Linked DNA regions of Danio rerio. The protein of the gene in region 4 interacts with the protein of the main gene of each other region in a biochemical or structural test. Links are inferred from orthologs where the notes say so. Each region holds a gene or a part of one and is shown on either strand. Other genes may lie near its edges.

Region 1 (7,995 bases), on a different chromosome or scaffold from region 4:
TGCAAGTAAATTCCAGAGAAACTCTCCAAGGAATTGAGCCCGAAGGCAAAAGGTGCAACGTGGCCCTTCACGTTCTGTTTAATATTCATCAAAATAGAGAATAAATAGAGAAAGATAAAGAGAAAAAAGACCAAATAGCAGGTCAGTCCTCAGGAGGAAATATCACCTCCAGCGCTTGTGTCCTTCACAAGACTATCATCCGCAGACAGACTCTATTATAAACAGCAAATATGCTTTGAACACAAAGAAAGACACAGATACTATCCGAAAGGCAAGGAGCAAAACAGATATGCATTATTGATCGCACTCTGAATGATACAAATCAGGATTTAAAATGTCTGCACGCTCTGTACTCAGAGTTTTACTAAATAAACATGAAGTAAATGCATTTCTAATTTTACCGAAGTAGATAAAAAACATCTAAATAGATAACAAATGATAAACAGTTCCATGCAATCCTAAACTGAGTGCAAATTTTGTCAAGCTGACCCCAATTTTTGGCTGGCTTGGAAAGGCAAGCTTTAGCATGATTTGCATGATAACGGTTAATTAAAGACGAGCCCACAGGGCAGACTAGCCTGATAGAGGGGGAGACACCATGAAAATAAATGCAATTACTGACACACTTATGACAGTTTTTCATTGCAAATGACTCACTGCTGTCAGTGAATATATGTCTAAGATAAGCAGTCATACATATTGTCAAAGAAAACAAAGGCCCATCATAGTCGTTGACCTTTGCTGTGCTTTACTTCAGTGGATTATAGGGAAACATGAGGACACTGATTAAATAATTTATACTCATATATTACAATAAAACTGCTCAAAAACATCAGCTAGAGGACATCATCCAAAAATGAGTTTCACTGACAACAATAAAGACCCCATAAACATTAGGTCAAAAAGTCAGATTATTCTGCTTTAACTGTGCTCATGGTGCAAATTCACATATACTGTAAGCACTAATGTTTATTATATGATTAGTATGTTTGTTAGTAGTATGGATATGTGGTTAGTATGTTTCTAGTATGGATTAGTATATTTTTAGTATGTTTGTTAGTATATTTCTAGTATGGATTAGTCCATTTTCAAAGTATATTGCTAGTCTGAATTGTTAGTATGTCTAATGTAAAGTCAATGGCAGTTTTTTTTACAATGGAAGTCTATGGGACAGTTGCTAGAGTGCCGTAAATGGTTGCTAGGGTGTGGCTAGTAAGTTGAAAACTCATCAGTAATTGGCAGATTGGTAGTCTGAGTTAAATGAGCCCAGCTTTAAGTCTGTATGACAGTCTGGTGAACGGTTATGAGGTCACAAAGTTTGGTCCAATGTTAAGTCAATGGGACTTTTCCAAATTTGCTGGGTCAGTTTTTGGAAAATTGTAAGTCGGATCAGTTGGAAAATTAATTTTACTGACAACAATAAAGACCACATAAACATAACATAACTAAAAGAATAAATAAAAAAAATATTCTGCTTCAATTGTTGTCAAGATGCAAAATCATATACAATCAAGCACTAATGTTTATAGCATGATTATCATGTTTTTAGTATGTTTTTAGTATGGATATGTTGTTAGTAGGCAAGGCAGTGGCACAGGACAGTTGTCGCCTCACAGCAAGAAGGTTGCTGGTTCGAACTTCGGCTCAGTTGGCGTTTCTGTGTGGAGTTTGCATGTTCTCCCTGCCTTCGCATGGGTTTCCTCCGGGTGCTCCGGTTTTCCCCACAGTCCATAGACATGCGGTACAGGTGAATTGGGTAGGCTAAATTGTCCGTAGTTCATGAGTGTGTGTGTGAATGTGTGTGTGGATGTTTCCCAGAGATGGGTTGTGGCTGGAAGGGCGTCCGCTACGTAAAAACTTGCTGGATAAGTTGGCGGTTTATTCCGCTGTGGCGACCCCGGATTGATAAAGGGACTAAGCCAACAAGAAAATGAATGAATGAATGTTGTTAGTATTTTTTTCAGTATGGATTAGTATATTTTTAACATGTTTGTTAGTATATTTCTAGTATCTAGTGAAGAATTGGTAAGTTGTTAGCATGTCCAATGTAAAGTCAATGGCAGTTTTTTTTTTTTTTTACAATGGAAGTCTATGGGATAGTTCCTATAGGGTGCGGCTTTGTAGGGTGTGGCTAGTAAGTTGAAAGTTCACTAATGACTGGCAGATTGGTAGTCTGAGTTAAATAAGCCCAGCCTTAAGTTCGTATGACAGTCTGGCGAAAAGTTACAGTATGAGGTCAGAAAGTTTGGTCCATTGTTAAGCCAATAGGACTTTTTCAAATTTTCTGAGTCAGATCAGTTGGAAAAGAGTCAGACCAGTTTTGAGGTTTAGAGGTTAGTTTTTGTAGCTTAAATGGTTTAGTAGATATGCATATAGACCATTTTGAGGCATGTAAACAAAAACAATGGTCCCAATGTATTATCTGTTTTACATTTAATTTCTATAGCTTCAGAGAGTCCAAAAAGAGCCACATATTGATAGTAATGTTATGATAGCTGTTTTAACAATAAGTTATTATTGACTTGCCTCTTGCAGTTATGAAATGTTCATTTGCCAATGACATCATCACATTGAAATGGTCTATGGAAATTGGTCTCAGAAGAAGTAGTAGTAGTTTATGTAATAGTATCTTGGCTTTCTCAAGACACCATGACTATTATTTCTGTTTAACTATGATTTAACAATTCAACATGGATCCCCAACATTCTGTAATTGTACTAACAATCACATTTAAAGCATAAATAAGGCACCTTGTGCTGTGCAACCAGTTTCTAGATGACTGCAGAAGTATCCCGTTCCATCACTATTTGTCTCCGTTTCCCTGTTCCTCTCTCCTTTCATCCTTATCTGTTCATCATTTCACCCCTCTAAAAGAGTCCATTTGTCCTAGATATGTTACATTGTGGTCGATCGAAAACAGTATTAAACCAGTAATGGGTGTCCACTTTGGATGGTTACTGTGTGCTTTATTTGCTCATTACGCTTATCATTTAGGATGTCACAAAACTCAACAATTACAAAGCATGGGCTTATGCTGATTTAAATTTTTTTTTTTGTTAAAAATTTGTTTATATCAAAAAAATCATATCATCATCTAGCAACACTTCTAAATCACTGAGCTTTATATATGGGTCAGATAGATAGATAGACAGACAGACAGACAGACAGACATATAGATAGATAGATAGATAGATAGATAGATAGATAGATAGATAGATAGATAGATAGATAGACAGACAGACAGACAGACAGACAGACAGACAGACAGACAGACAGACAGACAGACAGACAGACAGACAGACAGAAAGAGACAGGCAGGCAGACAGACAGACAGACAGACAGACAGACAGACAGACAGACAGACAGACAGACAGATAGATAGATAGATAGATAGATAGATAGATAGATAGATAGATAGATAGATAGATAGATAGATAGATAGATAGATAGATAGATAGATAGATAGATAGATAGAACCCACAATCAGATAAACAGACATAATGATGATACATGTATGCCATGAGTGAACATCTTATTGACATTCAGACTCAGAGAGAAGACAACATTTCCCAGCAGGAATGAACTGTAATGGGCCAAATGCCCAGAAAACTTCCTGACACACAAAAGATTCTTCATAAACCTGACACAAGAATCATTCCTCACCTGAAGGAGTCTAAAATTGAACAACCTCATTAATAAATTTAAAATCACATACTTTATAAATATAATGCACCCCCCCCCCTTTCCACAAAAAAAAAAAAACAAATACGTGCCATATGAAGTTTCAAAAAATGAAAAGTTTTCTCACATTTCACTTTAAAGACAATAAAACTAACCTATCGAAATAAAAGTAAAACTATTTAGACTAAATCACATAAGAGATTTTTTTAAATATATATTTTTACATTTTACAATAACATTTCATATGGCACTTAGAAGTTTTTGCATCTGATCCATATACAGAAGTCTAAATTGTTAGCCCTTCTGTGAATTTTTTTATATTTCCAAAATTATTTTTAACAGAGCAAGAATTTCTTTCACACTATTTCCTATAAATATTTTTTTCTTCAGTAGAAAGTCTTAATTGTTTTACTTCGGGAAAATTAAAAGCAGTTTTTAATTTTCTAAAAACGTTTTAAGGTCAATATTATTAGCCCCTTTAAGCAATTTGCTTTCAACTGTCAACAACGACTTGCCCAATTACCCTAACTCAGATAATTAACCTAGTTAAGTCTTTAAATTGCTCTCTTAGCTGAATATGCTATCTTGAAAAAATATCCAGTAAAATATTATGTAGGCCTACTTTCATCATGGCAAATGTAAAAGAAATCAGTTATTAGAAAATAGCTATTAAAACTATTATATTTAGAAATAAGTTGAAAAAAAAATCTTGTCTCCGTTAAATAAAAATTAGCATGTGTATAAAATATACAGAGGCTAATAATTCTGACTTCAACTATATATATATATATATATATATATATATATATATATATATATATATATATATATATATATAAATAATATATAAATAATATAAAGATTTCTGATGCAAAGCCACTAAATTTAGCAAATATGTGGTGAAACTACTATACAGCCTACATCTTGAATTATTGACATGTCAACATATGAAAGTATCCGAGCTGTGTTTACCTCCTGAAGCTGCTCTAGCTCCTGTTTTAAAGCCTCCTGCTCGATCTCGAGCTCGGCGTACTGATGTTTGAGCTTCTGGTTTTCCTCCAGGACCACCAGACCGCATTCCGCAGCCCGGATCTTCTCCCGGTTTGCCTCTGCGAGCTCTCGGGTCAGCCTTTCCACCTCGCTCCGGTACTGATCCACCGATTCCCCGCATCCTCCACCGGCTGCCATCGCCTGCGGTCTCCGGTCGGGTATGATCTCCGCGTCCTCCGTTCCCGTGACTCTCCGAAAGGCGGAGGCTGATGGAGAGATTCAGGTGGAGATGCTGCAGTCCGTCCACCCGATGCGCCTCCTGTTTGCCGACGCTGAAATGATGTTTACACCAGAGACACATGGGCTGGACTCGATTTCTTCATGGTAGACGATGCTGTGATAAACCGCAATATTGTTTATTCCATCAAATAGGCCTACATTTATATTTTTTTATTCTAATTTCTAACTTCAAATGTTATGAGGAAAACCGGCGCCATCTACCCGGAATGCCAAGTGAGCAGAAGTTGATTCTGTCTATCACATGTGACGTCACTCACTGCCTCCCCCCGTCCCGCATCGTTTGCATTATTTATATTGCATTATTGGTGTGTATTTTATGTAGTGTAAGTCTATGCATAGTTAAACAAAAGTGATTAATAGTGAAGTCAATTTTATTTAGTTATATGAAAAATTATTATTGTAAACGACAAATTTAGTCAGTAAAGCAAAAGAGAGCAAATAGGCCTACTGTTGATCCTTGAAATAAATGGCATAACATGCTCAAGCTTCCTAAATCTTTAATGATGCACAAAATGTTATCTGTTCTGATTATGGATAACCACTTAAACGCTATTATGTTGTAACATGCAAGATGTTAAATAATATTGCGCCACTTGCTGGACAAGGCCGCAAATTACATGTTCAAAGAGAAGCAGGCTAGTTGGACTATTACATTTAGATTCTGAAAATCATCCCAAATCCAGATCTGCTTAAACGACTAACATGTTGTATTGTGTATTATTTTAAAGAGTGATCAGATGATGATGTTCAATACTCCAGAATAAGTGAAAAAAAGTCAAGCAAATTCTTGGTCAAAACGCGTGGAAAAGATTGTAAAACGTAAACATTTACTCTGAGCAGTAATAACTAATAACATGTGATATTCATTACTATAACCAGATTAAATAACTAATTTTAATTAGATTATAATACGTATTAAAATGCACAGAATCAGATTAAACATATTATGGTCTACATATTTAAAGAAATATTCACACAATGACAGAAAATAAAAAATAATTATTTTCTAAAAATTCAAGTATCATTTATCTTTTAATTCTTCAATGCAAAATGGCAACATGAATTAATTTGCAATTATGAGACAACATTTATGCTTATGAAACAAAAATGTAAATGTTGGAAAATACATTTGTAAATATATAGATCACTAAATTATTTAAAACCCAAAAGGCATTGACCACGTAAACGCAGTTTTATTGTTTACTAATAATCTACATCAGTATGTGTTGATGTAATACAGTATGTTTATGTGATGCAGGGATTCCCAAAAATCTTTCCCAGTCAACTCATTTGACCAAAGATATTTACTTGAATCCACTTTTTAATTTAATATTATAATAATTTAACAATATTTTGGTCAATTGGCATGCAGGCAAATAAAAATTATATTAAAATTTATATTAAAAAATTATATTAATTGTAAATATATTTATATTTATGTTTTCTGTCTCTCTCTCTGCACACTAAAAAAGTTGACTTAACTTAAAAATTTAAGGCAACCAGTTTCAGGATATTTTTGAGTTTACTCAACTTAAATCAAGTCTAGTGCAGTATTTGGGTTGAAAGTTGAGTCAACTCAAAAAATCTTTGCAGCCAGCTGCCCTACAATTTTGAGCTGAGTCTACTTTTTTTTTTTTACAGCGCACAAAGGCCATTAAAACCTGTTACAATCAAAAAATCTAAATAAAAGTAATCTAAAAGTAATCCAAAAGTAGTCATAATCCTTACCTACACTGTAAAAAATCTATTGATTAACAATTTCTGCATTTTGTGATTCACAAGTGTTTTCAGTGTTTTACATCATGGGACGTTGATCTCTGCTCTGTTGACTTTTGATGTTAAAAATTCAACCCTAGTTTAACAAAGTGACTATTATTGACATATCAGCAGTTTGAAATAATATAATGCATAAGAAATAGGGAAGTAAGTCTGTAATAGGCAATCCATCCCATGAACACCTTATTATAATTGTAAAACAAACATCACTACTTTTTTCTACACTTATTTATTTAACAACTTGCCAATTTGCACGTAACAGCTGCACATATAACACTGTATATAGTAATACACCTGTACACTTGTCAAATTGTATATTTGCATTCACAACTTACTTCTATTTTTAAAATATAATTTTTATCTGTTTTTGTCCAGTCTCTGTAAGTCTATTGCACTGTAGAAGCTGTCACGAAAACAATTTCTTTGTACAGTTGAAGTCAGAATTATTAGCCCCCCTTTGCATTTTTTTTCTTTTTTAAATATTTCCCAAATGATCTTTAACAGAGTAAGGAAATTTTCACAATATGGCTGATAATATTTATTTTTTTCTTTTGGAAAAAGTCGTATTTGTTTTATTTCAGCTAAAATAAAAGCAGCTTTTAGTTTAAAAAAAACCTTTTAAGGTCAATATTATTGGCCTCTTTAAGCTATTACTTTTCCGATAGGCTAGAAAACAAACCATCATTATACAATAACTGCGTAATTACCCTAACCTGCCTAGTTAACCTAATTAACCTAGTTAAGCCTTTAAATGTCACTTTAAGCTGTATAGAAGTGTCTTGAAAAATATCTAGTCAAATACTATTTACTGTCATCATGGCAAAGATAAAATAAATCAGTTATTAGAAATTAGATATTAAAACAATTGAACTGTGTTGAAAAAAACTCTCCCTTAAACAGAAATTGGGGGAAAAATAAACAGGGGAGCTAATAACTGTACATTAACTGTATGTGTGAACATAAAGCTCTTTCTGATTCTGATTCTAAAACAACAAAAAATGTAGTGGCAGTTTATTACAAGGTTATGCACTGCAATATACAACACAATTCCAGACAATGTATTATTTTTTTAAACTATTAAAAATGTTAATAAAACTTTAATTTTACAGTGTAAAATTAGTCATCTAAAAGATAACTGTTAACTACAATTTTCATTGTGCAATTTGTAATCAGTAACACCCAGAAAACAATCAAGGCCGCTAAAATTAGCCTTGAGGCTAGTCTAAATATCAATCTCATGGCTCTAAC
Region 2 (7,554 bases), on a different chromosome or scaffold from region 4:
AAATTTGTGTGATTCTTTCCTTTTATTACCTTCCAACTTATTGACCATGACTTCAAGTGCAAAGTTTAAAATCATATGAAAACTGAAAAATATGTGTAAAAGTTTACTGTTGATAAAATGTGCTTATTTTATCAGCTTGTCAGTGTGTCTCTCTCACTCCATCTATCCACATACACAAACTGAAACTTATAGGCCACTTTATTAAGTACACCTTAATAGTAATAGGTTGGACCCCGTTTTGCCTTCAGAACTGCCTTGATCCTTCATGGCATAGATTCAACAAGATACTGGAAATATTCCTCAGATTTTGCTCCATATTGACATGATATCATCCAGCTGTTGCTGCAGATTTGTCGGCTGCACATTCATGATGCAAATCTCCCATTCCACCACAAAACAGCGGTGCTCTTTTGGATTGAGATCTTGTGACTGTGGAGGACATTTGAGTAAAGTGAACTTGTTGTCATGTTCGAGAAACCAGTCTGAGATGATTTACGCTTTACGACATGACGCGTTATCCTGCTGGAAGTAGCCATCAGATGATTGCCATAAAGGGATGGACATGGTCAGCAACAATACTCAGGTAGGCTGTGGCCTTGACACGATTCGCAATTGGTACTAATGGGTCCAAAGTGTTCCAAAAAAATATCCCCCACACCATTACACCACTACCATCAGCCTGAACCATTGATACAAGACTGGATGGATCTATGCTTTCATGTTGTTGATGTCAAATTCTGACCCTACCATCCGAATGTCGCAGCAGAAATCGAGACTCATCAGACCAGGCAAAGTTTTTTCAATCTTCTACTGTCCAAATTTGGTGAGCCTCTGCAAATTGTAGCCCCAGTTTCCTGTTCTTAGATGACAGGAGTGGCACCCGGTTTGGTCTTCTGCTGCTGTAGCCCATCTGCTTCAAGGTTCAAGGTGTTGTTCATTCAGAGATGCTCTTTTGCATACCTCAGTTGTAACGAGTGATTATTTGAGTTACTGTTGCCTTTCTATCAACTCAAACCAGTCTGACATCAACAAGGCGTTTGCATCCACAGAACTGCCACTTACTGTATAAATTTTCTTTTTCTGACCATTCTCTCTAAACCCTAAAGAGATGGTTGTGTGTGAAAATCCTAATAGATCAGCAGTTTCTGAAATACTCAGACCAGCCTGTCTTGTCAACAACCATGCCATGTTCAGTCACCTTTCTTCCCCATTCAGATGCTCAGTTTGAACTACAGCAGATCGTCTTGACCATGTCTCCATGCCTAAATGCACTGAGTTGCTGCTGTTTGGCTGATTAGAAATGTGTGTCAACATGCAGTTGGACAGGTGTACCTAATAAAGTGGCCAATGACTGTACATAAACACACATGCCAGACGTTCTGTCTGCTGTAAGTTTTGTCAGCCTAAAAATTGTATACTCCATTGATGATCTAGCTTTTGCTGATTTAATTATAGACAATTAATTGTTACTATAATAACCCTACCAGAAGAGACTTCAAACTAAACAAATGACTAATTATTCATTCATTAATTTTCTTGTCGGCTTAGTCCCTTTATTAATCCAGGGTCGCCACAGCGGAATGAACCGCCAACTTATCCAGCAAGTTTTTCGCAGCAGATGCCCTTCCAGCCGTAACCCATCTCTGGGAAACATCCACACACACATTCACACACACTCTACAGTCAATTTAGCCTACCCACTTCACCTGTACCGCATGTCTTTGGACTGTGGGGGAAACCGGAGCACCCGGAGGAAACCCACGCGAAGGCAGGGAGAACATGCAAACTCCACACAGAAACGACAACTGAGCCGAGGTTCGAATCAGCGACCTTCTTGCTGTGAGGCGACAGCACTACCTACTGCGCCACTGCCTCACCCATGACAGTAATTAATCCGATGAAAAGGATGCCTATAACTAGGGCTGCACGATTTTGGAAAAAAATGCAATATTTAGTTTTTCTGCGATTTACATTATGGCATAAATATAGCTTCATAAGATGACTACATGGAAAGATTTCAGAATTTTACATTGACTGGGATGATTTCTTATGGGTATAGATCTGCATAAAATGTTCAAGATTATCAAAAATAAATACATAATAAATTAAAGCACAGATGAAAACAATCTCCCAACAGTCCAACAGTATATAAATCCAATGATCAAATGTGAAATAACACTGTATTTGTTGTATAAATAAACACGATTAATCTTTACTAAAGTGGCAATCTGTATAATTTTTTGTGGCCAAATGGTTTCAATTCATTTGAAATTTATGAAACTGCATTTGACTATTGCAGATTCACATTGCGATATCGATATATAGTCAAAGACTATAGAACACACAAGACATGTCTATTATAGTTTTGAATGGTAAAAGGTGTAATGGTCAATATGGTAAATAAAGCACCGCCTACTAGTACAGGAGACAATCATCGATCACTATAGACTGACGTTTCTCCTGGGGAGAAGCTCAGACCAGATGTGTGCTATTTTTAGTTTGGTGGTCAACAAACACAGTGTAATCTCAGCGAATACTTGGTTTAAATGAATGAAGTGCAAAGATTTTTGGTTTTGTAGTCCTTACGAAACTAACGCGAGGTACAGTCCGTCCTGTCAAACGCACATCACATGACAGCAGCAAGTTCTCAAATGCCCACAAATTTGTAAACAAAGAGTTGCTGTCATTTCTGGAGAAGATTCGCTATTAAGCTTTTAAGTTGTGGATTACTTCAGAAGAGCAGCGCGATCAGACGATCATTATCCAGAGGATGATAACAAGTAGAACGGCCATAAATGAGATTGGTGCCGTGATTTTGTTCCTTTTGAGTGTGCATTTTGTTTGATTCAGACGTTTAGAAATGAAACTTACGAGACGGTTATTGTTTATTCTAATTGGTGATTCCAAATATGTAATGTAATCATAAGCTTGGCTAACAGTTTTGAAGAATTTATTGCTTATGCATTCAGACAGAATGCCTGTGCATAATGCCCAAGAGGCATTTTAAAGATGGCCCCTGAGTGAAATGACTTGCCTTAAAGGGACTTTGATATTGTGCAGCCCTCATGGATACCAGGCGTAAACAGTTTTAGTTCAGTTAGTCAGATTCACAAATAAGGGTTTTGTACTTTCTCCCTTCACTGACCTCTAGCTCTTGGCTGTAATATTTCTTCAAGCTGCTCTTCAAGTTGTTAATTTTGTTCTCACATCTCTTCTCCATCAGATCCCTCTCGCTCTCCAGGGTCTCACTGTACAGCAAAACAGACATTTAAAAACTGCATCAGCTATTTATTATGACAGTACATATGCATTTGCTCTTAATATAATTTTTTCCTCATTTAAGCACTTAATGAAGCACCTGAAGTCATCCTGCATGCGGCTGATAACCTCCATCATCTCAGTGCAGACCTCCTCTCGAACCTTGGCCTCCAGTTCCTCTTTTTCTTGCCGTTGGCGCAGCACCTCACGCTTTAGAACATCAATGGCCTTCAGCAGTGCCTGTTCAACATTCAAAAATTTAGATGAACTACAAAACTCACTATTGCTAGAGTTGAAGACAGATCTCCACACTTTTCATACATCTCCTCTGAGACTTTTACATGGAAAAAAGAAATTGTTGTTGTCAAAGGTCCCCTATGAAACTGTGGTTTGTATCTTATACATCTTATACATTTCAATCACCTATATTGTATTAACACAAGGCAATAAAAACCCAGCTACTCTCATAAATGAAAATAACATCGTAATGGCTTTCTACATGCGTGTTTGAGCACAAAAAAAATTATCATATGGCTATATATAGTCAGGTCCATAAATATTGGGACATAATTCTAAAATTTTTGGCTCTATACACCAACACAATGGATTTGTAATAAAATCAACAAGATATGTGATTTAACTGCAGACAAGATGTATTTTAACTGCTGACTGTCAGCTTTAATTTGAGGGTATTTACATCCAAATCAAGTCAACGCTGTAGGCTGTAGGAATTACAACAGTTTGCATATGTGCCTCCCACTTGTTAAGGGACCAAAAGTAATTGGACAGGATAATAATCATAAATTAACCTTTTCACTTAATACTTGGTTGCAAATCCTTTGCAGCCAGTTACAGGCTGAGGTCTGGAATGCAAAGACATCACCAGACCCTGAGTTTCATTCCAGGTAGTGCTCTACCAGGCCTCTACAGCAACTGTCTTTGGTTTCTGCTTGTTTTTAGGGCATTTTCCCTTTAGTTTCATCTTCAGCAAGTGAAATGCATGCTCAAAGCGCATTCAGGTTAGGGGATTGACTTGGCCATTGCATAACATTCCACTTCTTTCCCTTCAAAAACTCTTTGGTTGGTTTTGCAGTCATCATCCATCTGTTCTGTAAAGCGCCATCCAATGAGTTCTGATCCTGCTGCTTTTGTCAGCTGTCACGTTATCAATAAATACAAGAGAACCAGCTCCATTAGAAGCCATGAATGCCCATGCCATGTCACTACCACCAACATGCTTCACTGCTTAGGATCATGAGCAGGTCCTTTCCTTCTCCATACTCTTCTCATCACTCTGGTACAAGTTAATCTTAAGGCTGGTACACACCAGGACGCTCGTGTCTTGTGGCTTCAAGCAGAAGAGTATGCTAAAATCACTTCTTGACATTAGCTGGCACTATACAACTTTAAGCTTCTGACACCTCGCTTATAACACAGAAGAAGAGGAAGAGAGGAAGTCCACATGCTTGTTGTTGAATTTACTGGTGACTCAAACAAGCATGGATGGTTCAAGTAGCAGCTCCAGCGATGAAGAAATGATTATTGTTCACAGAGCAATAAGCAGCTCCACGTTCATATTGCCTCTGTTGATCTTCTTCAAAGTGTGCTTGCATTGACAGTTTTGCATTTGCAGCCTCCAAGTGCTGTTTACTGTTACTTCAGCAGCTCCAAAAAAGTGCCAATCTGATTGGTGGAGAAGTCAAAACAAAAAAACGAGCATGAGCTGTTTTTTTTAAATGACGCTTTGGCGTCTAGCATTTTGAGTGTTGGTGTGCACGATCACATTGACTTCCTTTATTTAGTCAAGAGGCACTAAATGTTGACGAAAACCGCAAGAAAAAAACGCCTTTGTGTCCACGGGCCTTTAGTCTCATCCGTCTATAGGATGTTGTTCCAGAACTGTGAAGGCTTTTTTAGAACTCTAATCTGGCCTTCCCGTTTTTGAGGACTTGACTGATAATGACAGCTCTTTGCATCTCATCTTAAGAGTTGACAGTAACAGATTGCAAATGCAAATAGCACACTTTAAATTAATTCTGGACCTTTTATCTGCTCATTGTCATTGGGAGGGAACAACACACACTTGGCCATGGAACAGCTAAGAAGCCAATTACTTTTGGACCCTTAACAAGTGGGAGGCACATAAGCAAACTGTTGTAATTCCTACAGCGTACACCTGATTTGGATTCAAATACCCTCAAATTAAAGCTGACAGTCTGCAGTTAAAGTACATCTTGTTTAAAATCCATTGTGTTGGTGTATAGCACCATAATGTTGGAACTGTGTCGAAATACTGTGACCAATATTTTTGGACCTGACTGTGTACACTGAAACCACATCTCATCCCTCCTCACAAATCCAGTGAAGAATAATAACTTTTGGAAATTGTTTGAAACTGCTAATGAGGATTAAGAGTGATTTGAACTACTACAACTGAATTTAACTGGGTTTACCTCAGGATCAAACATGGTGATGTCTCCTTCCTCATCACTCTCCTCCTCATCCTCCTCTAGTAAAGTGGTGTCGTTGGGATGAGTTGGCTGCTCACGGAGCAGGGACAGAATGTATGCAACACGTGTCTTACTGCACGGGCCATGCACCAGCTGAAAGAATAAAAAAATTTGTGTTCAGATATAGTTTCAGAGTGACACATTTTTTAAAAAAAGTTTAACTTAAGCACTTTCCAGGTGCATTTTACTGTACAAGTATGGCAAACGACATATTTACATCCATTAGGCATCCATGGGCTGGTATAGGGTTTCTACAGGTTTTATAAAGTCAAATTTAAAACTTTTTAAGACCATGATTGAAATTTCAGACTTCCACAAGGCTAAAAGCTAAAGATTTTTTAAATGGCCAATTTAAAACCTTAAAAAAAAAACACATTAAAAACACGCTATTGTAAGGAAGATATTTAAACCATAATAATAAGTAAATAGAATTAATAAATAAGCGTTTCTTAAAACTTTTTCAGAAATATATTGCTAGTGATTGTATGGATGTTGGCCTAATTGGGTATAGCTTTACGTTCACATAGGAAAATTAAGACCCATTTAAAATGATTTAAGACCTACAACACAATAGTTTAATGCATTTAAGACCTTTTAAGACCTAAAATTTGTTTTTTGAAATTTAAGACTTTAAGAACCCGCACAAACCTGAAGATCCTGATAGCATGAACCAGTATGAAACTGGACAAAAATACCACGATTTTACAGTATTGCGATTTCTTTACAATTTGAAAAGGTATCTTTAGATATCTTTCTTTTCTTTGAATATAAAGTAAGCCCCTGCACTGTTCAGGTCGATAGCATGCTTGGATGCTGGTATGTAAAGCGATTTGTATTCAAATGTTTGCTGAACCATGTTAAAAAAACTAAATAAAATAACTGTAAAAAAAAACACATATACCATATGAACGGTATAACAGGAAATGTTAACTTTTCCAAATCGTGGTTAACTAGGGCTAGGCGATAAATATCAGTATCGATATTTATTGACCGAACACCATTAAAGTCCATAGTAAATGGTCAAGGAATCCACGCACACGCGCTTGTCCCTTCAGGTCAGAATAACAACACATGCGAAAATGAGTGCCATATAACCGCAGTGAAAAGATTGTAAATAAAATAGGATGTCGCCAGAATGGCTTTTTGGTTTCTTTTCTTGTGAATCCAAGCACTAGCTCCCCATCTTAAAGATTTTTTTGCATTGGGGTAATATAGTTATTCAACTTCACAACAATAATGATGGTTGGTTCCTTTACTTGAAAGCTCAGATTTGATCATCATAATTTGTGTTTTTGACAAAGTTTGAGGCTTACTGTATGATTATTATTCACACTATAAGTTTTCTTTGATTGTTCAGTATTTGTACTTTACTATTGCACACACTTTGTAACATTTTATCTAGTTTAAGAGTCTATTTTATTATAAAGAGATTAAGCATTTTGTTTAAACAATTTTGCTTTTGACTATTAAAACTATTTGCTTTAGTAATGTTGGTCAATTAAAATGAAGTCGTTAAATAACAAAAATTCCTAATATTCCTAAATTTATTTTAAAAAATGTTCAATAATTATCGATATCTAATGATAAAAGACAGTGATAAAAGATAAAGTGATTTTTTTTTTTGTTCCAATATCACCTAGCCCTACAGTAAACCTTCAAACCGGTTATCATCCCATGCCTAACATACATATGCATACTCCATACTACATTATATCAAATGCCATTTCAAAGTAACCAAGAAAAATTTTAATGGCATGTTTGCCCCAAACCCAATAATAGCAACAAT
Region 3 (7,554 bases), on a different chromosome or scaffold from region 4:
TTGGAAGATTATATAACCATTGAAATTAAAACCAAGTGTGTTTCTAATAATTATTTCATCATATTTAGATGAGTCATGCAGTTGAATAATATCATGATTTAGTTCATCATCTGGTCATAAGCAGCTTATTGTATAAGCATTCAGCCTAAGCAGCTTATTGCTACTCTTATCCATTCAATTTCATTTTTAGAACTTGTATGAAATGCTAATACTGTAGCTTGCATTGTTTTTGTGCAGAGGTTTTCCAATGCATTCTGCCTTAATCAATTGAGGGCTCACTGAATAATCAAATGTATAATTGTAATGTTTAAATGTAAGAATGTGACACTGTTTCTCAACAGAGACAGTACGAATACGTCTGCGAGGTGAACGAACACCGGAGCTTCTGCTTGAGCTTCAGGATGACGGGCAAACGCAGTCTTTTCTTGAGCATGTGACGAAGGCCAAACAGCAAGGTGATACACCTTATTTTCCCTGCACAGGATGCAGCCGCAAACATCAAGCCACATTCCTTATTTATTAACTACTCTAATCATTTATTTACCTGGGTAACCAACACCCACATTTATAGCTTTGTCAGTAATGAATGCTTCCCTGGAAGAATTTAACCTCAAAGCCAGACTGACGGTTTGAGAGTTATACATTTATGGTGTTGGTTTACTTGAGTTTACAATGATAGATCCACAATCAAAGCTTAGTCTCCCTGCTGTAGGAGTTCTCCAGTTTGTTGCCACTGAATGTAGCCTTAGGTTGTCCCTTATGTTGCCTATTGCCTTAGGCTCCCTTTTATATATTTGTCTGAAGTCTAGTCGATTAAAGATCAGGGCAATTGTAAAAATAGTATATTATGAAATTTTCTCATCTGGTTTATTTTGACAGATTTTTTTTTTTTTAAAGCAGAAATAGAACTCTGGATATTTATACTCTGATTGAAGCCCAAAGTATGATTGTGCATCGACATAATTGTGTGACGCATAAACACTAGAAAATCCAATTTCAATGGCTTTTCTTTTTTCTTCAAAGGTTAAAAGTCATGAAGTCTGCTTATTTAAAACTTGTGGGTTTTTTTACCGTATTTGCTCATGCAGTTTTGTCCATGTTTTTTTCCACTGTGAAGCATCAGCCTGGTGATGTGTTGACCCCCTGTGGAAAAAAAAAATGTAAAATAGGATATATAAAGCACATTAAGTATGCACGTAATGTTCACTCACTTGCACTGTTTACATACCCTACCTTATGCTAAAAAACTGAAGCATATTTAAGACCAGAGTGCGAATTACAGGGGGGTTTGGGATGGATTGATCCCCCTAATTAACGCTTGATCCCCCCTGAAGGATGTCGAAACAAGATGTAGTTTTGTAGTTTAACCTACAGTAACATCTGAAATGGCTCATCAGAGAATATTGTAACATACCTGCCAACACTCCCGTTTTTCTCATGATTCTCAAGTGTTTCAGATTCATCTCCTGCCACCCTCCCGTTTTGTTATTTCTCCCGGAAAACTCCCATATCTTCATCCAAACTTCCCCGCCAAGGATAGAAAAGATACCTCAGCTTTTTTGTACCTTCTGTGAAACCCCCTCGTCACCAACTTTGGTATAGGATATAATCGCAGCGACTGCTTAAAACACGCTTCATAGTACAGTTACTAACACCAACAGTGTTATTCAGACACCTCAACCTCGAACCTAACCCCCTCGTCTCCCGGATTTTCAGGGACAAATGTTGGCAGGTATGCTTTAAGTCAGATTACAAACTTAAATGCGTTTTATTAATAAACTAGATGCAACTAAAAATAAATACATAAACGACTGAAGCATGTATTACACAAACTAACCAAAACAGTTGACCCCCCCTGATCATCAATTTATAATTCACACACTGCTTAAGACTTTAGGTGTACAGATTTGGCTCATCAAAAATGTAATAATGCTGGAACAGACATTTTCATGTACTGTTAACTCTAATAAATTCTTGCTGGCCATACCAACTAACTGTCATTGAGTTTAAAAGCATGTTTTATCTGTTAAATGCATATAAAAGGCTCTTCTCAATTGGTTTAATGCATCAAGTCAGATCTGAAACATTAATGTTGAATTGGTCCACCTTTAGCTGAGAGGAGTTCACTGCCCAGGAAGATGGAGCCAGTTGTACCTGCTCCAGTTAAAGACTGTGTTCCAGTTCCACCTCAGAGAGGAACCTCCAAATCCTTCTCAAACAACATCAACAACAGCACTTTAGCAAATCCCTCAAACACAGGTATAAAAATGGCATACATAATGCAAGAACATTACAATATTTGCATTGGTTTACAGGGACATACATATATCACAGTAGTTGCTTGTGGAAACTCAGTGACCCTTTCTGTACCTGCAGATTCCACCCGCTCGCTTGCCACAGATTTTGGCTTTGAAGAAAACTTTAACCACGTTTTAAAAGTGGAAGAGAAGAAGAACAAGCAGAATCGTTTAGTTGCACAACGAGAGCCACCACCTCCACCAATTCCCCCTCTTCCTCCTAGGAAAGGCACAAATACATCATTGACAGGCCCAGCTACCAAAGAAAGGCCACCATCTGTACAAAATGCCACACCTGTCAGAAATGAGTAAGTGCTACTGGTCTTAAATGCAGAAACTTATGGATTTTCAGAAACTGTTTTTAAAATGTTGTGCTCCTTGTCATTGCAGATTTCAGTCTGTAGACCGATCTGTTTCCTGGTCTGAAAGCCCGTCCAACTCCACCATAAGACAGGCCATGATGAGCAGCCATGCAGGGTCAAGAGAAGGTTTGCTCAAGTATCGCCTCAGCAAGAAAGAGAAAGAATATGTGGACATTAAGAACTTTAAGTGAGTGTCAGTTTTCCATGTGCATTTTGTCAGTAAAGTCAGCTCTTGTAAACATCCAGCATATGGAGTTGAAGCAGCATTTACTACACAGAGTTGTTTTTTTTGACTAAGGATGCAAAATAGCATTTAAAGTTGAAATCTGCATATCTGGATGAAAATGATATTGAAATAATCGCTCTGTGATAATAGCAGCAGTTTGCATCGCTTGTCAGTGAACTACGGCTCTGTGTAGTTATTGCTGCAAATGAAAACACCACGTGACAGTGTTTCTACCTCCAATTGATTTCATAAATTCAGTTAAGTGTTTAAACTAAAATTTTCCTGTTTGTTGGTCATGTTGAATCAATGAAAGTATTTAAATTCTATGTTTATAGTCAAATGCTATGAAGTTTTACTGGATTTCTTTTTTTTGTGGGCCCTCTGGCCTTTGGAGCAGATTTACTACTGATGATAGAACTTTTAGGATTATCACCCAGGTCTACTGTAAACTTAACATCAGTGATTTTGTTTTGACCGCTTTAAGGTGATTGATTAAATCCCTCTATTTGACAGGTTCTTCGTAGGCACGTGGAATGTAAATGGTCAGTCCCCTGACAGCAGTCTTGGGCCCTGGCTCAGTTCTGACCCAGACCCTCCTGACGTCTATGCACTAGGGTGAGTGTCACATCATGAACTGAGAACACTGTTATACCCAGAATTCCATGCGAATTGTGTCATCTTTAAATAGGAAATTGTTATTATTTGCAATTTTGTAGCATTTTTACTTGCCCTCCACTTTTTTCCAAACTTACAGAAGTTTATTTTCTACTGTTAAACAGAAAAAAATACTGCTGTATGTATATGTAAGAAAAAAAACATGCCATCATTACATTCATACATACATATCACTATGCACATACATAATTACCTATATATACATCACATAAACTTTAGAAGTAAAATAAAGAAAAGAAAAAAATAAGAAGAAAAAGGGAAAAGAAAAAAGTAACAACAAAAGTAAAAAAGTATAAAATTAACACGTTTAACAAGCCAAACATATGAGATTGTTTTATATCTTCCAATTAAAATTCACTTAAATGTGGTTGTCTTTATATTGCCTATATATCAACCATTTTTTTTCCAACCCTTCCTGAAAATATCTGTTTTCATCCTCAACATAAATGTCAGTTCTTCCATTATGTTATCAAAAAGTTGGTTGTTCGTTATGAGTTTCATTGTAGTTTTTACTACAATAGAAGTTATTGGGTAACATCAGCTGTCTGGTTACAATAATTCTTGTAAGCATAAGTTATTTTGTGTTCAGCAGAAGAAGGAAATCATACAGGTTTGGAACAAGTGAATGGTAAATGATGACAGAATTTGTATTTCATCCTTGTAATGTATTTTATTCATAATTAGGGATGCACCAATATGTATTTTTGACCCAATTTCTTTAGATTTGGAGGCAGATAACCGATATATATATGATCATTATCTACAGACCTCCAAAATATTCTCCAGCTTTTATTGAGGATTTTACAGAGCTGTTATCAATTGTAACCTCTGAATTTGATTATTTTAGTATTGCTGGGGATTTTAATATTCACATTGATAATCCAGAAATCAATGCTGTAAAAGAACTGATGACTGTTTTTAACACTTTTGATCTGACTCAGCATGTTCAAGGACCCACACACAATCGTGGACACACTCTTGATCTACTTATAACTAAGGGTTTACACATTTCATCGACTGTTGTTAAGGATGTGGCACTATCTGATCATTTCTGTATCTTTTTTGATATATTGATCACTCCAGCTATTAAAGACAGATCTGTCTCTGTCAGAAAGAGATGCATAAATGAGAACACCAGTGAGCAGTTTATGAAGGCCATATCGCTAGCACCAAGTATATCTGCAGATTCTGTTGATTCTCTCCTTGATTTGTTCAACTTTAAAATTGAGAATGTCATAAATGACATCGCTCCTGTTAAAGTCAAGAAGCTGACTGGCAGGCAAAAGGGATCTTGGACAAGGTCACCGAGAGTACAAATGATGAAAAGACAGTGCAGAAAAGCTGAGCGTATGTGGAGAAAGACGAAACTAGTAGTCCATTATAATATCTATAAAGACAGTCTTCATGCCTTTAATATGGAACTAAACACTGCTAGACAGACTTTCTTTTCAAGCCTTATAAACAGCAACTTAAATAATACTCGCACACTCTTTGCAACGATAGAGAGACTCACAAACCCCCCCAGTCGGATTCCAAGTGAGCTACTCTCTGAAAGCAAATGTAATGAGTTTGCTCATTTCTTCACTGATAAGATTAATAATATCAGAAAGGCAATCAGCTCATCCAATCAGTCAAGTTGTGTCGATATCAAACAAGCTCAACCACAACTTGAGAAGTCAGACATTATGTCTGATTTCATGGCAATTAACGGCAAAATCTTAGAAGAAATTATGCAAGTTATGAAAACATCAACCTGCAGTCTTGACACGCTCCCCACATCATTCTTCAAATCGGTGTTTACCTGTTTAGAAATGGATCTTCTAAAAGTGGTAAATGCTTCACTTCTCTCAGGGATTTTTCCAACCTCACTTAAAACTGCAGTTGTTAAACCCCTCTTGAAGAAGAGCAACCTGGATAACACCCTATTGAGCAATTACAGGCCAATCTCAAATCTCCCTTTCATTGGTAAAATCATTGAAAAAGTTGTTTTTAACCAGGTTAACAAGTTCTTAAACTTCAGGGGGTGTTTAGACAATTTTCAATCTGGTTTCAGAGCACATCACAGTACAGAGAGCGCTCTTATAAAGATAATCAATGATATACGCCTAAATACAGATTCAGGTAAAATAACAGTGCTGGTATTGTTGGATCTCAGTGCTGCATTTGACACTGTCGATCACAGCATACTTCTGGATAGGCTGGAAAACTGGGTTGGGCTGTCTGGCACGGTCCTCAAATGGTTTAGATCTTATCTTGAAGGTAGAGGTTACCATGTCAGTATAGGTGACCATAGGTCGAGGTGGACACCCATGACGTGTGGAGTCCCACAAGGCTCGATTCTGGCTCCTCTCCTGTTCAACCTTTACATGCTCCCTCTGAGCCAAATAATGAGAAAGAACCAAATCTCCTACCACAGCTATGCTGATGACACTCAGATCTACCTAGCCTTACTGCCTAATGACTACAGCCCCATTGACACCCTCTGCCAATGCATTGATGAAATGAGCAATTGGATGTGCCAAAACTTTCTTCAGTTAAACAAAGAGAAAACTGAAATGATTGTGTTTGGGAACAGAGATAAGGTTCTCAAAGTAAATGCGTACCTTGGCACTAAAGGTCAAACGACAAAAAATAAGGTCAAGAATCTTGGTGTGACTCTTGAGTCAGATCTGAGTTTCAACAGTCATGTCAAAGCAGTCAGTAAATCAGCATACTATCATCTCAAAAATATTGCAAGAATCAGATGCTTTGTTTCTAGTGAAGATTTAGAAAAACTTGTTTATGCTTTTATCAGCAGCAGGGTGGATTACTGTAATGGACTCCTCACTGGTCTTCCTAAAAAGACAGTCAGACAGTTAAAGCTCATCCAGAATGCTGCAGCCAGAATTCTAACAAGAACCAGAAAATCAGAACACATCACACCTGTCCTCAGGTCTTTACACTGGCTGCCAGTTACATTCAGAATAGATTTTAAAGTATTATTACTGGTCTATAAATCACTAAATGGCCTAGGACCTAAATACATTACAGATATGCTCACGGAATACAAACCTAACAGATCACTCAGATCATTAGGATCATATAAACTAGAAGTTCCAAGAGTTCAGTCAAAGCAGGGTGAATCGGCTTTTAGCCACTATGCCCCTCGCTGCTGTAATCAGCTTTCAGAAATGATCAGATGTGCTCCAACATTAGGCACATTCAAATCAAGACTGAAAACACATCTGTTTAGCTGTGCCTTTACTGAATGAGCACTGTGCTGCATCCGACAGATTGCACTATCATGTTTTTCTCTTCTTCTTCATTCTTTTATATCACATTTTACCTGTTTTTATGTTTTAAGTTCGACCCCCGCATGCACAAGGCAGGCAGTTCTGTACAATTACATAATCTATCGGCTTTAAGATATCGGCCTAATTTTGAAATAGGATCGATAACAATATCATTAAAAATAGAATTTATTGGCTTATAATGATGTCGTCGCCGATATATTGTGCATCCCCTTTCATAATAAATAATTGTGCGCTATACATTGTGTATTGTAAGTTTGTCTGTTATAGTGCTTTATTCAGCTTATTCTGTCATTTGTCAGATTTCAGGAGCTGGACCTGAGCACAGAGGCGTTTTTCTATATGGACTCATCCAAAGAACAGTTATGGGTTGATGCAGTAGAGAGAGGCCTCCATCAAAAAGCCAGATACATTCAGGTGATCAGTGAATACCAACTGAAATGTCCTGCTTGTAATCATTTGGTGGCCAAAGAAAGTGGTAAACATTTGCTGAACACCCTGCATGCTGTCTTCAGGTTCGTATTATCCGCCTAGTGGGCATGATGTTGGTGGTGTATATCAAAAAGGAGCACAAAGATCAAATTCGAGAGATCGCTTCTGAGTCTGTGGGAACTGGCCTCATGAATAAAATGGTATGTTTAGATTTGTTACAATAGGAAGTGGTTTGTTAAGAGGAAGTCTCCATTGTTATATTTGTATTAGAT
Region 4 (7,554 bases):
CCGGACTTGGCATTTCCCTTTCCCAAAATAAGTAATAACTTGCATGGCCTTTAAATTCCTTTTGGCCATTTACAAATGAATTATGTGAACACATAACAGAAACATATCATTTAATATTTCAAGCAATTATAAAAAAAACACAAAAAATGTTTGGTATTTGTAAGAAGTGTATATTTCTACTTTTGATCACAACCAGTGTTGAGGAAATTTACTTTTGAAAGCACAGCATTGAATAACTCCAATAAAAAGTAGTTGCGTCACTTAGTTTCTTTTTTATGGTAAGTAATGCATTACATTACTTTTGAGTAAATATTTCTTGCATGGCTGAGGCTTGATCTCTTTCAGTTTTTTTCTTTTTTTTTTAAATGGAGAAACTATTAACAATACACTGCATAACCTTCGTTTACCTTTAAAAAAAAAACACATCAAAAATAATATCGTATGATAATGTTATCTTCTAAGAATTTCCTGACCGCAGTGCTATACATGCCGTATATACAGATTAATGCAAGTTTAAAGAAATGTGTTTGCTACTTTTGTACTTTTTGTTTTATTTGTGAAGTAAAAGTCACTGTCCATTGAGATAATCCCCTTTTCATATTCTTCCAAGTGTTAAAAATAATGAAAACACTTCTATCCCAGAAATGTAAGCCAGAATCATCTTGGTTTCTGTCTGTGCCGAGCACATTCTGACTGTTCATTTTAATTCAACAATTATCTTTTTTTAAAAGCAAAGTAATAAAAATAAAAAGTAACTTGGATTTTGTTAAAATGTAAAGAAACTCAAATATTATTACCTAATTTTTAAAAGTAATCCATTACTTTACTTAGAAAAGTAATATTATTATGTAACTTAGAATTTGTTTAGCCATTTTGAATGTTATCACTCATTTGAAGGGGCATTATTAGTGGTTATCAGCTAATAGATATAGGTCAGTAGGGGCTGTCTGAACCCACTGATAGGCTCAGAAGGCTGTTATCCATCCACATGGTTAGTCAGCAGTAGATCACATATGGCTTCAGCCGGAAGTTAACGAGAATAATTTATATTAATTTTAAAATTTCACATTAATTGTATTTTATGAACATCTACCCAAACCCAACCATCACAGTGTTGTAAAAAACAGATATGGAGTCTCCTCTATTAGTAAAGCCGATTAACCACAAGAATTATTAATATTATTTAACAAATTTCCTATTAATTGTATTTTATTAACGTCTACTCCTACCCCAACAATCACAGTAATGTAGAAACAGATCTTGAGTCTTCTCTATAAGTATAGCTGATTAACCATGTTGATGGATGATAACAGCCTTCTGAGCCTACTAGTTCATATCCATTAGCTGATATGATAACCACTGATAACGGCCATTCAATCGAGTGATAACATTCGAAGCGGGTAATCCGTCACCCTTAACACTGATCACAACTGCAAAAATATACTGCTCTTTAATATTTTTATTGGTCATTCCGCTGTGTTTAGCTTGTTTTTAAATTCATCTTCATAAAAACGACTATTATGTCCCTTTTATTAACTAATGAAGATCTGTTAACATGTAAGCTCAAATACGAAACAAAACAAAGGTGTCTAGCGCTCCACTTTAGCACCAAACTGCAAAGCAAAGAAAAAACAACAAGTCCCACAAACATAAGACAAGAAAGATGGAATCACAAACAAACAAAACAAATAGAATGAGAGACAGAAAAGGAGAGACTGCGTTGAGATGACAGACATCTTTCCTCTTCCTCAAGATCTCCCGCCGAGGATCCACACTCACTTGTGATGTCATAGACTACAACAGCAACCGTCGAGTCCCGGATGTAGCTGGGAATCAGACTGCGGAAACGCTCCTGTCCTGCTGTGTCCCAAAGCTGCAGCCGCACCTGACCAAACATTTTAGCACCAGAGATGCAGCAGAGAGAGAGAGAGAGAGAGAGAGAGAGAGATGGGGAGAAAGGGGAAGAGGAAGAGGTAAGAGGAGGGGAACTGGACGCACACTGAGTCTCTGATACCTACTTGTGATGTCGTAAACTACAACAGCAGCGGCTGAATCTCGGATGTAACTGGGAATGAGGCTACGGAAACGCTCCTGTCCTGCTGTGTCCCAAAGCTGCAGCCTGATCTGTGTGAATGGAGAACAAACAAAAGAAAAGGAACCAGAGTAAAAAGGAAAAAAAGGAGGAAATTAAATGTTTAAAAGGAAAAGATGATGTATAGGAAGAAAAAAACAGAATAGAAAATAAAAATGCAAGGAATGGGTGAAAGCAAAATGGACAATGTATTTGAGACTGTTAAATGCTGGCGGTAGTTCACCCGTCAATGTAAATTCAGTCCTCCTTTTACTGACTACAAAAGATATGCAGTTGAAGTCAGAATTATTAGCCCTACAGAAAAATTAGCCCCCCCCCCTGTATATTTTTTTACAAAATTTCTGCTTAATGAAAATATTTTGTCACACATTTTTAAACATGATAGTTTTAATAAATGAAGTAAATAATATTTTACTAGATATTTTCAAGATACTAGTATTCAGCTTAAAGTGCAGATCGGTTGGGCTTTGGCAAGGTACGCTAGTAGTGTACTAAAAGTGCGCCTGAGCCCGAAACTGAAGACGCAACGTCACTTTTAGAGGCTGTTTCATATGGATTTACTAATCAATCTTACTTTTCAATGAACAAGAACTACTGTCCTAATTTACTAAAGTTACAAACCCCTCACGGCACGTCAGCTACACCTTCAGCAAACCTCCTAATACCTGCAGCATGATGACTTTCATGAACATTTATGAGCGTCAAAAGTTGTGGATCTGTTCAGCAAAATAATTGACTGCGTCACTGACTTAAATGAATACAAAACAATACAATTAAAGCCATCTCCATTGTACTGAGCAAGAGCGCTTCTTGTCCTAACCGAACAATTGCATCATTGATGACGCAAGCGTGCTCAGGGTAGACAATTGAAAAAAATATTGCTTTAGGGGGCTAATAATATTGACCTTAAAATGTCTTATTTTATGTAAAACAGCTTTTACTATAGCTGAAGACTTTCTCAATAAAAAAACATAATAGGTAATACTGTAAAAAAATCCTTGCTCTTTTAAACATCATTTGTTAAATATTTTTTAAAAGGAAAGCTAATAATATTTACTTCAACTGTATATTTGAAAATTATTTACAAAAAAGGGCCAAAGGATTGGTAAAACCATTCACTTTATTGGTTTTATTAGGTATGGGTTTAAGTCAAAAGTAAAGCATCATTTTTTTTTTCTCTAAAGGTCTAATAACATTTCTTCCTTTAGTATTGATAACTGCTTTACTAGTGCCACAGACTTAACAAACTATATAATTATATATGAATTATCATCATTAATTTTAAATATGGCATGAACAAAACTTCCACAAAAATTCTGTTGAACATAAAATAAGATATACTGATAAATGTTGGGAAAAGCTGTCATTGACATATATAGTAAGAACAAAAAATACTATGGAAATCAATTTGTGTTTTTTTATCTGCATTTGTAAACTCAAACAGGATTGGTCAAGTGGAGAGTGAGTATTTTTATTTTTGGGTGAACTATACTTTTATTGCAGATCTAGTTGCAGCCATTGTATAAAACAGCCATAAGCAAGAGACCTTTTTATAAATTACCTTTTTATGGTTTTTCTGAGCATGCATATTGTGGTAAAACAGCTCCAGAGTGATTAAAGAGTGGGTGAACTAACCCTTTAAGTCTATTGTTAGTAAAGTATTCAAATGTTAGTAGGGTTAAGGTATGGGCCAGGGTTTGGCCATATTATCAGGACAGCAGATCTTCTGAATAAAACATAATTATACAAAATAAAAAAAAATTAAATGAGAGAAATTCTTTATAAAAGGAAACAAACATGTATGAACAAATAACTAGAGAGTGAAAGAGAAAAGAGAAAGAGGCTGGGGCAATGGACACAACAGGTGGAGAAAGGCACAGGAGTTTCTCTTTGCGCACTTCATCTTTGACTTTTATAGACATTTCCAAATATCAAAGGTTTAAAACAACATTTAACATTCAAAGAAAACAATGAATGAAACATTTATATGCTATTTTAAATAATCTTTTATTTGATCATTTTTCATCTTTCAATATCAGCTAGTATCTGACAGCAGATTTTTCTTAAGTAAAGCGGTGAAAACTTCTCAAGTGACTCTAGATATACGAGTTTATCTCCCAGACATCGTGTTTGGGATATATATGACAATAGTCTTATATCACAAAATAAATCATCTCAAATTCAGTACCATTTCTGTCAATGTAATTAATTAATAGTTTATATTTAAACCGCATGTAATATTATTTTGATTTACATTATAAAGCATGATAGAAAAATCACTCGTTCATATGTGATCATATTTCTAGCTTTATTTAGAACTTTAAAAAAATTAAATAACAATAAAATAAACACTTTTCAAAAACGAATGATAAAAAGTTCAACGTAAAAAGCAAATAAATAAAATCAACATCATCGCTAAATAAAATGCAAAATGTAAACATTGTACTTTCAAGATTTTTTTTATGTTTCTGACTTGTAATATTGTGTTTATATGAACTATGAAAAAAGTATTAACATAAGAAATGTACATTGTGACACCACAAAATAAACAAGAGCATAATAATATGAAACAATAGACTTTTTTTACGATTGCACATCCCTAATTACTATACATCTAAAACACAATGCACTGAAACAATTATTTATCACTTACAACTTTAAAACCATTTCAGAGAGTGTGGCAGAAATCAAAGAAACTTAACATATAATATTATATACAAATAATGTTCTGAAGAACGAGAAAAGAAAATATCAATTCCATTAAATAAACAAATTCACTTTAATTTACAAAAAGATTATCAAATCCCTCAGTCATTTCTTAATATCTCTATGATAATTTCATGCATTTAGTATATTTTAAACAGTTAAAGCCATATGCATTTTCTATTAGAGTGAAAAATAAATTACTTACTGTTCTGTCCTCAAGATACATGGTTTTCGACAAGAAATCAATTCCTATCGTGGCCTGAAAATTAAAAGCAACAAAACATTAGAGATGAAGCACGCCAAACCACACAACTGATCAGAAACATTTAAAGTTGAGAACAAACAACATCACTTACCTGGTAGGTGTTATCGAAACTGTCGTACATAAATCTGGTAATCAACGACGTCTTTCCCACTGCAAAATCAAAAATGATCATGTTACTACTAAAACATTAGATTAGGCTTCTGCCGGTATCAAATTTGATCGTTGCGATTAGGGCTGCACAATATATCAATACAGCATTGATATCCCAAAGTGCGCATCCACAAAAGACACATCACAAGATGTGCAATGTTCAGTCTGAATTATAGTTCACCAGGAGCTACACAAATACATTTAATTGCTGTATTTATACAGAATATATACGATTTATGCAAAAAATATAAAGTGTTATTTTTTTTCTTTGAATTTTTGTTGTGTTTCTTGCCTAAATATCTACATTTCAAAGCAAACATTAGAGTATTTTAATTCACCTACTGGCAGATAATTTGGCTTGTTTTAAGTAAAAACTATCAATCTGGACTTAATTCTTCTTTAGAGTTCATAAAGTTACCAAAAAACATCTAATTTGCATGTGTTTTAAAGATGTAACTGTGAACGCATTTCAAGATGGTTTAAAGTTAATTAACTTCAGGAAAGATTATTAAATTATATATATGCTATAAAAAATTTTGTAATTCTCACAACAAATCAAGTGATATTTATTTTACATATTTAACTTGTGTACCTGAACACTGTTAGAGTCTCAGAAAAACAATGAAGCATTTATTTAAATTATTTACAGCATCTATCACTGCACGCCACAACAAAATCATCCTATTTTCATCCTAAACTATCCTAAATGGATTAATTCTATCCAAATAGAGCTACTCATTTCATCTGTTAAACTTATACTCAACATTGCAGGAATATAAAATATTGCGACGCCAGTTTTTTCCAATATCATGTAGCCCCTATAGTGATTACTATATTTAATTAACTGTTAGACTCCTCAGAAAACCCTCAAACTATTCAAACTGTCAAAGAAAACTGTATTTATATTGCAAAATTTAATTGCAGAAAAATAAAATAAATCGCAGGAACAGATTCTTCCAATATCGTGCAGTGGCTGAAATTACTTGCTGTAGTTTTCTGACTATATACGGTATTATCACAATGTTGACCTAAGCTGAAAAATACTTTAGCAGTAATAATAATAACAATAAACACATAATGTATATACATAATCAGAGTACACAAATGTTTCAACCAAATTAAATTGCACAAGGACTATAAAGTACAATAGCTAACACTTTACAGAAGTCTCACTGGTAAACCTTAATGCGTTAAAATCAACAGTGAGAAAAAGCTAGATGTATTACACTAAATGTTAATTTTAGTTATAACTGGTTATTATTATTAACTCCATTTAATAAAACGTGGATGTAACTGCCTACGGTTTTAGCACACTACTAGAGGTAATAACAGAAAAAAATAACATTACCTAATATTAGGGCTGCACAATATTGGAAAAAACATTGACATTGCAAGATATCTATCAAAACTATCAACATTTAGTCTAAAATTTAGTCTAAAATTTAATCTTTCAATATCTATCGAAACTATCAAAATTTTCTGTGCATTCAAATCTTATTTACATCAGACTCTTCTCATGACACGTGATAGATTTATCTAAAAGGAGACCATGAACAACACATGCAATGGTGTCTGTAAATATGCAAACAGTTTGCAATGTTTATTTTCCTATTCAAATTTCAGAAAAGCCTCAAGCATAAAGCCTCAGAAGTCTAGTCTGAAAGATGTTTACAAAATAATGCCACATAATCTTTGTTTATGCTTTATGCTGCAGATGTACTTTTGAATTCTTGCCCAATGACTTGTGAAATTGGTGTCCAGTGAAACACTGTGTGGGACAGATATTTCAGAAAGGGGAGTAGCTCTTATATTCAGACTTAAGCAGTATTTAATAGGCATTGTTGGTGTTTTATCACTTATGAACGCGTGCATGTGCTCACAAGTTTGAAATATGAGTGTTCAGTGGTTAAACGATACAGAAAATCTCAGCACGTCACCAACAAAAGCTCTCAGTCAAACTTGAGAATATCATGTTAACACAGCAGAGAGAGACAAAAATACACTGTGAAATGAATACGAAATGCAGTTTAAAAAGGGACTTAAGTGTTTACAATTGTAACGTTGTAAAATCTGAACAGGCATTGATCCAGTATTTAGTATCTTCTATATATTAGGTTCTAATAATGTAAAAAATATATATTTAAATATTTTATATCAATTATTAATGAATCATTTACTTTATGAATTATTTTTACATATGTTGGTGCATTATAAAAACAATTCTACTTATTATTAAACACGTATACATTTATTCATACTTAATTACTTTTTAATCTATTTCCATTTATTTATTTTAATCAGAATTATGCTTTTTAATTTTTAATTCGTTTAAATAAATGTC

Evidence for each region.
Region 1: the proteins of rab6a (region 4) and bicd1a form a complex in vitro, tested with the Homo sapiens proteins (3 studies listed by BioGRID). The link is inferred for Danio rerio from reciprocal best matches to the Homo sapiens genes RAB6A and BICD1.
Region 2: the proteins of rab6a (region 4) and kif20a form a complex in vitro, tested with the Homo sapiens proteins (2 studies listed by BioGRID). The link is inferred for Danio rerio from reciprocal best matches to the Homo sapiens genes RAB6A and KIF20A.
Region 3: the proteins of rab6a (region 4) and ocrl form a complex in vitro, tested with the Homo sapiens proteins (2 studies listed by BioGRID and IntAct, with this or other methods). The link is inferred for Danio rerio from reciprocal best matches to the Homo sapiens genes RAB6A and OCRL.

The regions. Positions count from the first base shown.
Region 1 is NC_133193.1:13,403,558-13,411,552, reverse strand, and holds the start of bicd1a (protein bicaudal D homolog 1), read right to left. Parts: upstream 5,187-7,995; 5' UTR 4,870-5,186; coding exon 4,654-4,869; exon of another isoform or gene 4,603-4,653; intron 1-4,602. UniProt on the Homo sapiens protein: Regulates coat complex coatomer protein I (COPI)-independent Golgi-endoplasmic reticulum transport by recruiting the dynein-dynactin motor complex.
Region 2 is NC_133196.1:38,602,314-38,609,867, forward strand, and holds part of kif20a (kinesin-like protein KIF20A), read right to left. Parts: intron 5,862-7,554; coding exon 5,712-5,861; intron 3,499-5,711; coding exon 3,359-3,498; intron 3,249-3,358; coding exon 3,146-3,248; intron 1-3,145. UniProt on the Homo sapiens protein: Mitotic kinesin required for chromosome passenger complex (CPC)-mediated cytokinesis. Following phosphorylation by PLK1, involved in recruitment of PLK1 to the central spindle. Interacts with guanosine triphosphate (GTP)-bound forms of RAB6A and RAB6B.
Region 3 is NC_133189.1:38,419,399-38,426,952, reverse strand, and holds part of ocrl (inositol polyphosphate 5-phosphatase OCRL), read left to right. Parts: intron 1-341; coding exon 342-455; intron 456-2,112; coding exon 2,113-2,259; intron 2,260-2,376; coding exon 2,377-2,605; intron 2,606-2,687; coding exon 2,688-2,846; intron 2,847-3,398; coding exon 3,399-3,500; intron 3,501-7,152; coding exon 7,153-7,267; intron 7,268-7,365; coding exon 7,366-7,482; intron 7,483-7,554. UniProt on the Homo sapiens protein: Catalyzes the hydrolysis of the 5-position phosphate of phosphatidylinositol 4,5-bisphosphate (PtdIns(4,5)P2) and phosphatidylinositol-3,4,5-bisphosphate (PtdIns(3,4,5)P3), with the greatest catalytic activity towards PtdIns(4,5)P2.
Region 4 is NC_133185.1:41,754,820-41,762,373, reverse strand, and holds part of rab6a (ras-related protein Rab-6A), read right to left. Parts: intron 5,214-7,554; coding exon 5,155-5,213; intron 5,058-5,154; coding exon 5,004-5,057; intron 2,125-5,003; coding exon 2,019-2,124; intron 1,886-2,018; coding exon of another isoform or gene 1,780-1,885; intron 1-1,779. UniProt on the Homo sapiens protein: The small GTPases Rab are key regulators of intracellular membrane trafficking, from the formation of transport vesicles to their fusion with membranes.